Linked DNA regions of Xenopus tropicalis. The protein of the gene in region 1 purifies or fractionates together with the protein of each later gene. This does not show direct contact. Links are inferred from orthologs where the notes say so. Each region holds a gene or a part of one and is shown in the gene's direction. Other genes may lie near its edges.

Region 1 (7,126 bases):
TTACCCCAATAGCTGTACCCCCTCTTATTAACTGTATACACACTGATTGCACCCCCTTATCTGTTACCCCAATAGCTGTACCCCCTCCTATTAACTGTATACACACTGATTGCACCCCTTATGTTACCCCAATAGCTGTACCACCTCTTATTAACTGTATACACACTGATTGCACCCCCTTATTTGTTACCCCAGTAGGTGTACCCCCTCTTATTAACTGTATACACACTGATTGCACCCCCTTATCTGTTACCCCAATAGCTGTACCCCTTCTTATTAACTGTATACACACTGATTGCACCCCCTTATCTGTTACCCCAGTAGCTGTACCCCCTCTTATTAACTGTATACACACTGATTGCACCCCCTTATCTGTTACCCCAATAGCTGTACCCCCTCTTATTAACTGTATACACACTGATTGCACCCCTTATCTGTTACCCCAATAGCTGTACCCCCTCTTATTAACTGTATACACACTGATTGCACCCCCTTATCTGTTACCCCAATAGCTGTACCCCCTCCTATTAACTGTATACACACTGATTGCACCCCTTATGTTACCCCAATAGCTGTACCACCTCTTATTAACTGTATACACACTGATTGCACCCCCTTATTTGTTACCCCAGTAGGTGTACCCCCTCTTATTAACTGAATACACACTGATTGCACCCCCTTATGTTACCCCAGTAACTGTACCCCCTCTTATTAACTGTATACTCACTGATTGCACCCCCTTATCTGTTACCCCAATAGCTGTACCCCTTCTTATTAACTGTATACACACTGATTGCACCCCCTTATCTGTTACCCCAATAGCTGTACCCCCTCTTATTAACTGTATACACACTGATTGCACCCCCTTTATTTGTTGCTATGAATAACATTATCCCTTTCTCCTCTGCTGGTTCTGACTCCTGAAACAATGTAGCAACTCTTGAAACAACTTGGTCTCCAGTTCCTACAGTGCCTTGCAGCGTTGCCGTTAGTCATTTGCTCAAAGGAATTATACTTAAATATGGGGTATAGTTATAAAAGGGGAGAAGATACCCATAAAACAGTGTGGCTGTGTAATGTAATAATTGTGCCCCCCCCCCCAACTAAAAAAAAAATAATGATAAAGGTGAAGTTAAAAGTACATTTATTTAGAACAAGAAAAAGCCTAATGCGTTTGGTGCCTATTGGGGCCCTATAACCCTTAGTATATTATAGAATGGCTTGTTCTTAGCAACTTTTTAATTGGTCTTCATTTTTTTTATTTCTTATGGATTTTGAATTATTTTATTTTTTTCTTTCAAATGGGGGTCACTGACCCCGGCAACCGAAAACATTTGATCTGTGAGGCTACAATTTTACTGTTATTGTTACTTTTTATTACTTTCTAGTCAGTTCCTCTCCTGTTCATTTTCCAGTCTCTCATTCAAACTACTGCCTGGTTGCTAGAGTAATTTGGACCCTAGCAACCGATACCTACTGAAATTCCAAACTGGAGAACTGCTGGAAAATAACTAAAGACCAGTTGCAAATTGTCTCAGGCTATTAAAGGGGTTGTACTCCTTTAAGTACACTTTGAGTATGTTATAGAAAGGCCAAATCTAAGCATCTTTTCAGTTAGTCTTCATTAATTGTTTTTCATAGTTTTTGAATTATTTTCCTTCTTCTTCTAACTCTTTGCAGCTTATAAATGGGGGTCACCGACCCCGGCAGCCAGAAAAACTATTGTTACTTTATATTACTTATTTTTTTATTCTGGTTCTCTCCTATTTATATATCATTCTTTCATTCAAACCACTGCCTTGTTGCTAATGTAATTTGGATCCTAGCAACCAAATAGTTGCTGAGAGAGCTGCAGAACAAAAACTGGAATAATTAAAAAACTACAAATAATAAAAAATGAAGACCAATTGCAAAGAGGAAAAAGGAAATCATTTTTAAATATTTGATTTGTTCAATTGACATGGAGTCTATGGGAGATGGATTTTCTGTAATTGGGAGCTTTCTTGATAATGGGTTTGGGGATGAGCAATCCCAAGCCTGTACAGGAGCCTGCTGTGTTTGTGACAGGGCTGAGCAGAGGAGCATTAGGAGACGCTTTCTGTATCAGTCATTTTAGCTTTGACTGGGCAGATAGAACAGCAGGGGGCGCTCTGCAAATGTTTGATAATAGCTGTGTGCAGAGGCTAATATCATGAACACTAAAAGCAACCAATAAGCAGTAGTAGCAACCCAACCCCCTCTCATCCTTGCCCCTTTCTTCCGGATCAGCAAAGGGCAACTTGTACCTTACAATGGCACAGGATTCCCTCATGAGTATCGAGTATATGGTGACTGCATTGCATGACTCTGTCTTTGCTTTGTGCCGTAGGGCTGAGCTTCCACCCGAAGAGACCGTGGGTCCTCACCAGCCTGCACAATGGGGTCATCCAGCTGTGGGACTACCGCATGTGCACCCTTATCGACAAGTTTGATGAGCACGACGGTGAGTTGCCGATTGGCGCTATGTACGGCCCTTGTTATACAGCCTTGCATGCATTAAAGCAGAAGGAAAGGTGAAAACTAAGCTTTATCAGAAAGGTCTATGTAAATAATGCCGTAAGCACTCACAGAAATGCTGCACTGAGTCCTCTATCAAAAGAAACACAGGATTTCTTGTCTCTTTTTGTGTACACGTGTTCTCTCTCAGGGCATAGGCAGGAGTCTGCTCCCTCTCCCTTCTCCTGCTCCCTCTCCCTTCTCCTGCTCCCCCTCCCACCAGAATACGCCGCTCCTCCCATCAGAATACGCTCCTCCTCCCAACTCTGTAATCTAAGCTACCAGCAGCCAGATCTGCAGCTACTGAGACCAAGCTAAAATGGTAGCTGCTATCTTAAACAAACAGAAGGAGCTTCTAGAATACATTAAAGCTTTCTGCTTGCCCTATTGTGGCTAATGTATTGGCAGTAAAATTTCAAAACGCCTTTCCTTCTCCTTTAAATGGCAGTTGGTCTTGTCCCCTAGGTCCCGTCCGTGGCATTGACTTCCACAAGCAGCAGCCATTGTTCGTATCAGGAGGGGACGACTACAAAATCAAGGTAAGGAGGGATACATGTTAGTGGGCGTCAGGAACGTACCACTAGAATTCGATGGGGGGTGTAACTATCGACTGTGTCTCGTTAAGGTGTGGAATTACAAGCTCCGGCGCTGCCTCTTCACCCTGCTGGGACATCTCGATTATATCCGCACCACCTTTTTCCATCATGTAAGTATGCCACCTAGGCCCAAGCCTCTCCATTAGCCAATGAGCACACAGCTAATGTACAGTCTCATACAGCAGCTCTGTTGTGACGTCACTTCCCATTGGCTTTAGTGACAATCGAAAAGGTCACTGGTATTTAAATTGACGGGAAGGGGAGGAGTTATACTGGGGTAACACTAAGCCATGTTCTGTCGTTATTAGGAGTACCCCTGGATCCTGAGTGCCTCTGATGATCAGACCATCCGCATCTGGAACTGGCAATCTCGCACTTGCGTTTGGTAAAAATGAGCTTGTTTCCTGTCCATCAGAGGCTCTGATTGGCTGGCTGGGTGGATCCTTGCCCTTAGTGTCACCGTAACAACCTTCTCCTTCTATTGCAGCGTTCTGACGGGTCACAACCATTACGTCATGTGTGCTCAGTTCCACCCCTCTGAAGACCTGGTGGTATCTGCCAGCTTGGATCAGACTGTGCGCGTTTGGGATATTTCTGGTGAGCTGCCCAGGTTGAGGGGGTCCATGTGGTACCTGTCCATTCCCAACTGCACGGGGAGAGAAGCGTTGGAGCAGGGGAAGTGGTGTAGGGGGTCAGATGCAAGTTTCAGGGAGTTGCAGCACATTGAACAATACATAGGGCACCGAAATTCACCCACAAATGGTTTCCCCCACCAGTGGTCCGGCCCAGTATCTATCACATGACGCGTTTATCACAAGTAGTAATGTCAGCACTTCTAGTAATAGATATCACACACACTGATTAGGTTTTGTTTGTCTTCCCCTGGATTAGTTTGCTTCGGAATCTATAGGATTAGGCTAAAGGCCCAATGGTGGTTCTCCGTTAAAGGGGAACTCCACCCAAACACAACATAGTTTCAAGCAACTTTGCAATATCATCAATTGAAAAATATGCAGCCTTTACATGATTTTTAATGGAATGATATGGTTTGAAACAGTTCCCTAAGCCCCGCCCCCTGTTCTCTTGCTGATCTGGCTGACTACTTTGTAACATTAGTCGCCTGTCCTCAGCCTGCATCCTCCCAATCCCACAATTCCCTGCTGCACACGTGAAAGGAACATCGCAGTGCAATGCATTGTGGGTTATGTAGTTCCTGTAAGCTGTGGAGAAGTTGTTACAATTTGTAACATCATTGTTTTAGTCTCTCCTCCCCTGCCAGGACTTCAAATGGGTAATTGGATGCAACATGGCGCTCTTAAAGGGTACAGAGTGCTGTTCTGAGACACTTTGCAATTGGTCTTCATTATTTTATTACGTGTGGTTTTCGAATTATGAAGCTTTTTGTTCATCAGCTCTCCAGTGTGGAATTATAGCAGCTATGTGGTTGCTAGGGTCCAAATTACAAGCAACCAAGCAGTTGCGTGAGTGAGCCATATGAATAGGAGCAGCCTGAATAAAATCTGAGCCTCACAGAGCAAACAGTTCTTTGGCTTCCGTGGTCAGTGACCCCCATTTAAAAACTGGTAAAAAATGAAGACCAATTAATTTGTAGGTTTAGAATATGGTTAGTAAATGGGCCCAGGCTGCCCCCCTGCTCCATGGCTTCCCTCCTGCAGTTGTGGGTGGGACAGGCCGCAGTATTACATAAGTACACGGCAGATAAGACCAGTTGTTAGAAATCCTGGGCTGGAGGTGAGAAGGCTCTGCCTCCCTCTTCATCCTCTGCCCAGAGGAACCTTTGCTGCCGTCTCTTCCTCTGTGGATGAAATGCTAATGTTTATGTCTAACTGCCGTGGGGTGCATGCTGGGTAAACCCGTTTAACCCTTTCCAGTGTGCATGTCGGCAGTAATGTTCCCTATCATGGGATGGTAAGAACTGACTGCAGAACTAACTGTGTGTGTATCTCATGTATCCAGCCTCCGTGTCACGGCTGTAATGATAACCACTGTCTTACGTGACTAACTGCCCTCTCACACTGTCAGCTGTACATCCCCCTGTCTGCACATTCATATTTAGGAGCTGCCATATTGTTTCCTTAAGCACAGTATAGGGCCAGGGTTTATCACATACAGAGGGCATCCTTTTCTAAAATACCCAACCAGAATGGTCGTATTGGGGATATTTCCTGGGCCTGCATTCAGCGGCTCGGGGGTAACCAGTGCGGCTATATGTCACACACTGGCATTGGCACAGCAGCTCGGGGGTAACCATAGCAGCTCTATGTCACACACTGGCATTGGCACAGCGGCTCGGGGGTAACCAGAGCGTCTTTATGTCCACATACTGGCATTGGCACAGCGGCTCGGGGGTAACCAGAGCGGCTTTATGTCCACACACTGGCATTGGCACAGCGGCTCGGGGGTAACCAGAGCGGCTTTATGTCCACACACTGGCATTGGCACAGCGGCTCGGGGGTAACCAGAGCGGCTTTATGTCACACACTGGCATTGGCACAGCGGCTCGGGGGTAACCAGAGCGGCTTTATGTCACACACTGGCATTGGCACAGCGGCTCGGGGGTAACCAGAGTGGCTATATGTCACACACTGGCATTGGCACAGCGGCTCGGGGGTAACCAGAGCGGCTATATGTCACACACTGGCATTGGCACAGCGGCTCGGGGGTAACTAGCAATATGTCACACACTGGCATTGGCACAGCAGCTTGGGGGTAACTAGCAATATGTCACACACTGGCATTGGCACAGCAGCTTGGGGGTAACTAGCAATATGTCACACACTGGCATTGACACAGCGGCTCGGGGGTAACCAGAGCGGCTATATGTCACACACTGGCATTGGCACAGCGGCTCTGGTACTACAGGGATTATTTACAAGCGGAACATAAAATGCTCCTTCAGTTAAATCCCTGCTGCTGTTTCCATTTGCTCCAGTCCTGGGTGTGATCTCCAGTCTGTATAGCACTACTCATACAGTTTGTGGGTGCACTGATCCCCCACACTTACCCATATCCAAACAATAAAGCAACACTCAAGGTATTTTGTGCAAATATCTCCCAGGAAAGTGGATCGTTTGCCCATATATTGCAGTTTGCATGACCGGAGCCCCTGGTTTGGCCATTCCTGCACTCACTTTTACATAATCCATGAAGAATTCTAGTGTTTTTTTCAGCATTACCAGAACACACCATAGTTCCTGTGCCAGAAAGCTCAATGCCTGCAAGCTAACCACTATGCACCTCTGGCCTCTCCATTATGACTTGAACCCATTTCCCTGTAATTCTCCCCCACGTGCATGCATGCAGGATCTAACCCTCAGCACCCCCATTAACCCACCACCCCACCATCAAGTTAGCACACTGGTCCATCCAAAGTGTCCTTCCCTGCCCTCTGGGTCTGTGCAGTTCCAGACATTTTCCACTCATGCCTCTGCATCACTTGCCAGCGGAGGCCTGCAGCCATCTTCAGATCCAGGCCGGGGGCCCTCCATTACTTCGTTTCCACCGATGCTCATTGTGCCATTATGTTTGTGTACCGCTAAGATCCACCTGAAAATCTTAGTCATACCTGTCAGCTGGCGTTTCTCCAATCAAACCTTGCCCTGAAATTGAGTCAGTGACCCCCAGCAACCAGAAAGCAGATATAGTCCATCTCCCAGTTTGCATTTCAAATCACTGCTGGATGTTTGGGTCAATTCCCTTAGCAACCGTATAGTTTGAATTCCAAACAGAATACATGGGGAAAACCAGCAACACAGAGGCTTAGTTTTTCACGGTGGTTTTGGTGGCACAGTTGGTAAGTCTGGCTATTGTATATCACATTGCTGCTTTGCTTCTCTTACCCCGCCCTGCTCTCCTCTCACGGAAAGGCCTGAGGAAGAAGAACCTGTCTCCTGGAGCAGTGGAAGCTGATGTCCGGGGAATCTCTGGGGTGGATCTGTTTGGGACGTCGGATGCTGTAGTGAAGCATGTACTAG
Region 2 (7,622 bases), on another chromosome or scaffold:
CAAGTTATTGCAAACGCTTGATTGCAGTTATTGCTGCTAAGGGTGGCCCAACCAGTTATTAGGTTCAGGGGGCAATTACTTTTTCACACAGGGCCATGTAGGTTTGGATTTTTTTTCTCCCTAAATAATAAAAACCCTCATTTAAAAACTGCATTTTGTGTTTACTTGTGTTATCTTTGACTAACAGTTAAATGTGTTTGATGATCAGAAACATTTTGTGTGACAAACATGCAAAAGAATAAGAAATCAGGAAGGGGGCAAATAGTTTTTCACACCACTGTATAACCTGTGCAAGGAAGTTGTATTTTATCAAATAAGAAATTGAAACAGAAGCACTATCCTACAGTTATTTCCCAAACATGCATAGTACAAATAAATACAACATTTGTTATCAGCATAGGAAATGATCTGATCAGTTCACTATAAACTGCAAACACTACATACTAATAAATAATCAGTTCATACAGGGCCTCCAAAAAAGTTGAGTTTTTTTTAATAATAATGAAGGTACTGTAGGTAAGCCAACCTACCTAGGGTAGATTCTATTATGAAAGACTGCATAGGTAAGGCATCACCTTTAATTTAGCATTTTTGCAATGCCTAGAGAAAAGATTATAATCATATGAAACCTGTTCATAGAAGAACAACTAAGAAAGGGGTGGCATATTAGCAGCATTCATATATATGTATCAATGCAATTAACAGACAGCAGGAAGAAAACTAAAATAGGTGGCTCTAATGCTATGATTCAGGAAAGGGATGGCAAAATTGTTACACCATTATTTCTGGAGTCCACTATGGCTTTTATTGTTCTGTCTAACCAAACCCCAACTCTTAGAAATGTGGAAGAATTCAAAACCTGCAAAAAGTGTTAGGATATTGACCAAGTTCAAAAGCAAATCTTACATGTGGTATATTCCTAGTGCAAAATGTGAAAATATATATATCATAATGTCCCTCTGTAAATTGTACCAGCCGGTGACAGACTTCTGAAATGGAAGGTAGAGTTGGTCCTGTGTCTGAAGGCAGTGCTGCTTGCACCTAGCACTAAGATATGTATAAAAGGGGTGGAAAATGGCCATCCCCTTATATTACTCTAATTTTACATTATTTATGGCAGTATGTATTTTATATATAGACATCTGAGTTTCCATGTCTAGGAAACCAGCTTTAGAGGGGCCATCCACAGTTTACTATGTAGATTCACCCCCCCCCCCTTTTTTGTCTTTCTTGCTTGATATCGACCAGGCAGGATCACTCAAGAGCTCCATATATGGGCCAATGAACAATTAAGTGTATTAATGATAACGTTATCTATTGTATTGAATGCCTGTGTGGCCTTCAGTAAATAGGGAAAAGGAATAGGTAGTTATTAGAATGAAAAAACTAACATACAGAAATATTAGTAAAGGTTTATAAACTAGAGTTTCCAAATCTCGAACTCAAATATCTAAATAGGGATTCAATATTGGAAAATGATTAATGTTAAAATAGGGGGCTGTGAGATATTATAAGAATAACCAGGGCTGCCATTGCTATGTGGGGAAAGTTACGCAAATTGCCTAACGTACATATAAAGTTATGGCAAAACTAAATCAATTTACGTAACTTAAACCTGCCTAGAAACTTGTGTAACTTGCATAAAAACTTGCGTACAAGCAAAAGACAATGCAGAGAAGGGAAAACTCCAGTAACCACCAATGAATGGTAAATTCTACCTCCCCCAATGAACTGACTTATTAGCACATTAATTATTCATTTTAACCATTTATATGAACTGCTTATTATAGAGTAATATCTCTGTTTTTATTTGGGATCTATTTACTGAATTCTATGAGTATTCTTTACATTAACTTTTCAGCAGTGGAATGACTGGTTATTGGGCCCCACAGCAACATCATTGGCCCCCTACGCTTATGCAAGTTACTTTGAGAAAACTTACATTTAAACTGCACTGACCCCTAATGAAAAGATTCACTTATTAGCACATTATTATTTTTACTGCTTTAAAAAAGTAAAGTAAGTAGTTTTCTCCAGAAAAGGTGGAAACCCTAACCCCTTTGCATCACCCACGTCCCCATACATATCTCTCCTTACATCCTAATTATGCTTATGTGTTTTCCTTTTTGTTTCCTCTTGTTGTTTGGGTACAAAATCCTGTATATAAGAACCAACATTGCTTCTTTGTAATCAGCTTTGGTGAAGGAACTCTTTGCTGAGATTATCATCTTAGGCAGCCAATACCCACAACACATCTACGCCACTTTTGTTATGCTTCATGTCAGAAGTTTCACACTACAACTTTTTCAACTGGCTAACATAGTGCAGAACACTGGATTGGAACCAAGAGCACTAAGCACAGTTTTTACGCAAAGTCAACCGACCTATCAATTCATTCCAATGTCCGAGCTGTAGCGTAACAGCAGGGTGGAGCTTTAAACTATTAGTGACACAGTAATTTACATCTATTTCCTCCGCCATGGTAACCATTTGCCCAATAAAAGCAGCTTCCGCTTCCAACGTAGACGCATTCGTGTTCCGCCTGTCAGTGACTGAAACCATCAACCAATTAAAAAGCTTTAGACGCTATTAGCCACACCCTTCTTCTTCCTGTTCCAATCAGACTGAGCGAGGAGGCGCGGCTAAAGTTTTGATTGGCAGATGAATTAGCCAACGCGCGCTTTGCTCCACGTCAGCAGGATAGAGAAAGATGGATGCTATACTGTTGGTGAGTGAGGCCGCGGAAATAGCTTTGATTTTAGTGTGAGGGGGCCGGTAAAACTTTATTTTTCTATGGTGGTTGCAATCGTTTGTTTAGCTGGCCAGGCTGCTGTGTAGGGACAGGGGACGAGTGGTTAGGGTCTGTCAGTGGCAGGCTTTGGGCTGTGACTCCCAGCATACGTTCAAACGCTAGGGTAGCTATTCATTTTGGGACCTGTAGGAGATATCGTGCAGCAAAGTAGTTACTTTTTGTCATTCAGGGATGTTGCACCTGAGCCTTACGCCATGGTGAGCCTGTGCCAGGGACCCCCTATTGAATGGCAGGACTGGGCAAGGGCTGCTGGCACAGAAATAATAAAAAATATCTGGTAGTGACATTTTCTGAATATAGTGTGCCAAACTCTATAGTGCTATACCCCTTCTGATATTCCTTGTGTGGGTGTGTGTTTCCTTCCTAATCTGCCTGATTTTTATGTAGAAATAGTAGTAGTAGTAATAGTAAATAGTAGTAGTAATAGTAGTAGTAGTAATAGTAGTAATAGTAAATAGTAGTAGTAGTAATAGTAGTAGTAGTAGATGATTGATTGGGCTTTTAAGGAAAAAGAAAGGTGTCTGGGCTATTCTGAAATCTCTTTGGGTTAGACTGGACAGGCCTGGCGCTTATGCATGTCAGATTGTTGCTATTAGTCTATTTGCAGTTTAACAACAGCAGTTGGGCTATGGCTGATGGTAGAAGAAATATAGAACAGTTTTAACACAATACAATATCTGTATCAGGCATTTAAACTCTTAACAATTTTTTTTTGCAGGATTTTGTTTCCCATGGGGTATTGCATATCCCAGATATAGTTTTATAGAATCTCTCTTTACAGGTTGTGATTAAAGGGTATTGTATTGGGTAAAAACAAGAAAGTTCTAGTGCATTATGCACCTCAAAATCTAGAATAAATGTGCTGAGAAGTTTTTGGCCGATTTATTGAAAATGTATCCAAAACCCTACTAGTCCTACCCATTTTTTCCACTTCCCACTGCCTTCTTTCCCAGACCTGATAGGGAACTGAAATCGTCATTTGCGTGTGTGATTGGCTATGCCCCTCCTACTGTGCTTCTGGCAGGGACCATTAGGACATACCCCCCCCCCCCCCACCACCACTTGAAACATGGACAGGCAGATCCATAGGAAGCTTTAATAAAAAGGCCATTTTGTAAAGCTAATGATTATTTTTATCTCAGAGTGAAACCTGAAACCAGCACCATATATTTCATTTATGCTATATGTCTACTTTAAACTTAGTGTTTGCCGTGTTTATCTACTTTTGAGTGACTGTTCCCCCAAATATTGACGCATGGCATGTAAGTTTCTTGAAAGAAATTCATTAGGAAGCTTTAATAAAAAGGCCATTTTTAAAGCTAATGATTATTTTTAGCCCAGAGTGAAACCAGCACCATATATTTCATTTATGATATATGTCTACTTTAAACTTAGTCTTTGCTGTGTTTATCTACTTTTGAATGACTGTTCCCCCAAATATTGACACATGGCATGTTAGTTTCTTGAAAGAGAATCATTGTATAAAGAGGTTGTTTGGGAATTGAGAAGAACAGGTAACATCTGCTAGCAGAGTCAATGACACCTTGATAGGGACTAACTCAGTAAAGAATTCATACATGCCTGAATCTATGCTCTGTTTTTATTACTATTCCATGTTTCTTCCTTTTATATATTCCCTTTAACAAGAATATCATACATTGCTGTCTTTGAACAGTAGCATAAATTATATTCTCAGTCAGCACCCTAGGCATAAACTGAACAGAACAACTAAAAACCAAATAGTTTAATACTGACAGTATCAGTTACCACTCACAAATTGGAAAGTGAACGTGTCCATCAACCACAAATAAAAGGTAGAACCAGAACAGGCATTAAGTGCTAACGCTTTCCAAACTCCAGGTATAGCACAGTAAATTGGCTCCTTTGTGTTTGGACAAACATGCAAATAATGACTTTCCTATGGTAAGTGGTAAACCATTAATTGAATTCAGGGTCATCGGTGTTTCCCAAGGGGCATCCTCGTCTGGTGGTTGAACTATAAGATGACTGAAAAGCAGGGACAACGTGCTAAATATAGTTTGTTATTGAAATATAAAATGGAATATATTGCATTTATCTAACTAAAAGCATCATGCGCATTTCTAATACAGAGAGGTAGTTTAACAGGTTTCCCCAGAAGAACAGTAGATAGTGGGTATCCAACCCCAGCTCTGATTCACACAGGGAACATTATTTGCAGTTCCCTCTCAGGTCTGTCTAGCTGCTGATTGAATGGCATCCTACAATGCAAGTGCTGAGTGCCACATAATCTCCTTCTCAACCTGGGAAAGCAGCAGCTCAATTCGGTGAATGGTGCTAGCAAGTTTTTTACATTTACGTAACTTTTTCAGCAACACCAAAGGAAACTTAAAGGTACATACATGTATTTAGAAGTGTATAATGCAATGAAAAAATGCTTCTTCTTGACACCATTTGTCCCCTTTAAGTATAATGTGAGAGGTCTGCTGGATTTCAAGCCTTTCCCAAAAAATATTGTCTACCTGGATTTAGAATTTTCAGTGTCAATTTTAACCTGGAGGATAAGCCCCAGCAAGGATTTTCCTTCTGTTACTTTTATTACAATTGAATAATCAGAGTGAATTACTAATTGATTGCTGTGGGTTACTAAGCCAAAGAAAACTTTCCTTGTAAATATTGCTTAGATCTGATCCGTTCTCAGTTATGGCACTTTTGTCACAGTGACAGTCAAACTGTGCCCCTCCTGGTGCAGTTAAACTTCTAGATATTAAGGGTATAAGGATACTGGAAGTTCAAAAGGATTTCTGTTATCTATTTTCCCTTGATATGGTCCTAGAACACTTAAATAATTTTTTATGTTTTTTGTTGGAGGGTGTTGATATTTATTTCCTGTATTAATGTATTCCTTATTAATGTGTTGGGAATCACAAACATTCTTGGGTTGGTAGGGCAATGCTGTACAGTTGAATCAGCTACAAGAAGTGCAATGCAGCATATAGAATGCATGTATCTTGGTACATGGATGGCAGAGAGGTGGAACTACATGCGAATGAGGAACAGCGTTTGAGGTGAAGTTCTGTTATACACTCCGGCTGTGAGTAAGTGGAAGTCAGTGCATCACAGAACTTTGTCTCGAGGGCTTCACTACTCCATTAAAGTGAGCTCTCTCTAGGCTAATGGACTGGCTGACAAGTGGAGCATGAAAGGTCCAAAAAGTCTCACTATACCCCACATCCTTCCTGTGGTTATTCTGTCAAATGTGGTCTTATCTCTTCCATTCCACTTTTCTCTCTTTTGTCACAAACTGTGCATTATACAAGGATAGCCTTGTGTGCAAGTACAAGATCAGCTCTGTGCCCAGAGTAATTCATTTACAAATCAGGCATTCCTCCCGGTATGAAGAACGTTCATTGTGCCTTAGGATATCAGATTGATGTCAACTAGAAATCTGGCAGCCTGAAGGGGATTTTATCTTTAGCTAGATCTACTTATTGGGGAAATATAATAAGTGGTGTTAGTGGATGGGTCATAATATATAGTGGATGAAGGGTATTGCCTCTGTTTTTTGCATTTATATGGGAAACCCATGTCACGAGAACAACCATACCAGTATTATATTCCTCTGTTTATTCTGTGACACCACAGTTTCTTTTGTAGGTGTCTGTATGATATCACAGTTATACATATAGTATGTAAGGGAGTTGCCATGTTGCTTGAAAAGGCTGTAAGTATATGCAGACATTTACTTTATTATTACTGTCCTTAACATTAAAAAAATAGTCTTTCCATATCACACAAACTGGCTTCTTCTATAAATATTTCCTCCCAGCCATCACACATTTCTCTCTTTATTTTCCTGGGCACGACAGATTGCTTTCCTCCTTTGTTGCAAGGTTAGAGTGATTATTGTGTTTCTCTTGGCAGGATCCTTCCTTGTACACAGTGAAAGCTGTTTTAATTTTGGACAATGATGGGGAGCGGCTCTTTGCTAAGGTAGGTTTTAATAAAAGTGCATATTGGTGACTGCTAGCCCTTAGTGCTGCCAGTTTCACCTATAGACATCAGTGTGTATGTCCTTGCACTTGATATTTTCTCATTGTGTCTATAAGCAGATGCAGCATAGAAGCATTATAAATGCATGATTCAAAGATGCTTCCCTTTTGTTCTTTTATGTACAAACATGCTGATCCAGAACGAATGTATAAAACACACAGCAACTTCAAACTTGAGACTGTACATGTGGTATATAAGCACAAGTCATGTAGATGTGCTGCTATTGTGATACTAGTGTGTCAAAGCTTCATGCACTCATTTATTTCATTTAGGGCAGCAATAGGCATTGGTCTTGCAAGTTAATACAGTGCCAATCCATTGACTCCTTTTGTAGCACCAGGTTGTGACTACTGCAGCCACTAAGGGAAAATAAATCTCTTGCAATACCAGTTGGGTAGCTGTTATATCACATGATATTCTGTGTATATTCAGTGTGCCCCTTGAGCATTATGTGTTTTGTTTTTTTTTTGTTTTTTATATATAAAAACAGAGAACTTTTCTGCTTTCATCTTAATAATGTTACTGAGTGAGTCAGGGTTTGACTGCTAACCCTAACAAACCTGTATCATTCCACAATCAGGAACGGCAGAAGAGAGTGAAGTACTGGTTTAGATATATACTTAAGGGCCTGAAAAATGCAATAAGCTAAATTTCCTTCTGTCAATCTTTACTCCATAGTATTATGATGAAACCTATCCCACCGTCAAGGAGCAGAAGGCTTTTGAAAAAAACATTTTCAATAAAACCCATCGGACAGACAGTAAGTATCAGCAAGAGA

Evidence for each region. The genes of interacting proteins can lie anywhere in the genome.
Region 2: the proteins of copa (region 1) and copz1 fractionate together in Homo sapiens (co-fractionation; 6 studies listed by BioGRID and IntAct, with this or other methods). This does not show direct contact. The link is inferred for Xenopus tropicalis from reciprocal best matches to the Homo sapiens genes COPA and COPZ1.

The regions. Positions count from the first base shown.
Region 1 is NC_030684.2:137,301,701-137,308,826, forward strand, and holds part of copa (coatomer subunit alpha), read left to right. Parts: intron 1-2,368; coding exon 2,369-2,482; intron 2,483-3,000; coding exon 3,001-3,074; intron 3,075-3,160; coding exon 3,161-3,241; intron 3,242-3,439; coding exon 3,440-3,516; intron 3,517-3,618; coding exon 3,619-3,728; intron 3,729-7,018; coding exon 7,019-7,126. UniProt on the Homo sapiens protein: The coatomer is a cytosolic protein complex that binds to dilysine motifs and reversibly associates with Golgi non-clathrin-coated vesicles, which further mediate biosynthetic protein transport from the ER, via the Golgi up to the trans Golgi network.
Region 2 is NC_030678.2:145,581,885-145,589,506, reverse strand, and holds the start of copz1 (coatomer subunit zeta-1), read left to right. Parts: upstream 1-2,622; 5' UTR 2,623-2,710; coding exon 2,711-2,728; intron 2,729-5,841; exon of another isoform or gene 5,842-6,497; coding exon of another isoform or gene 6,498-6,515; intron 6,516-6,715; coding exon 6,716-6,784; intron 6,785-7,522; coding exon 7,523-7,604; intron 7,605-7,622. UniProt on the Homo sapiens protein: The coatomer is a cytosolic protein complex that binds to dilysine motifs and reversibly associates with Golgi non-clathrin-coated vesicles, which further mediate biosynthetic protein transport from the ER, via the Golgi up to the trans Golgi network.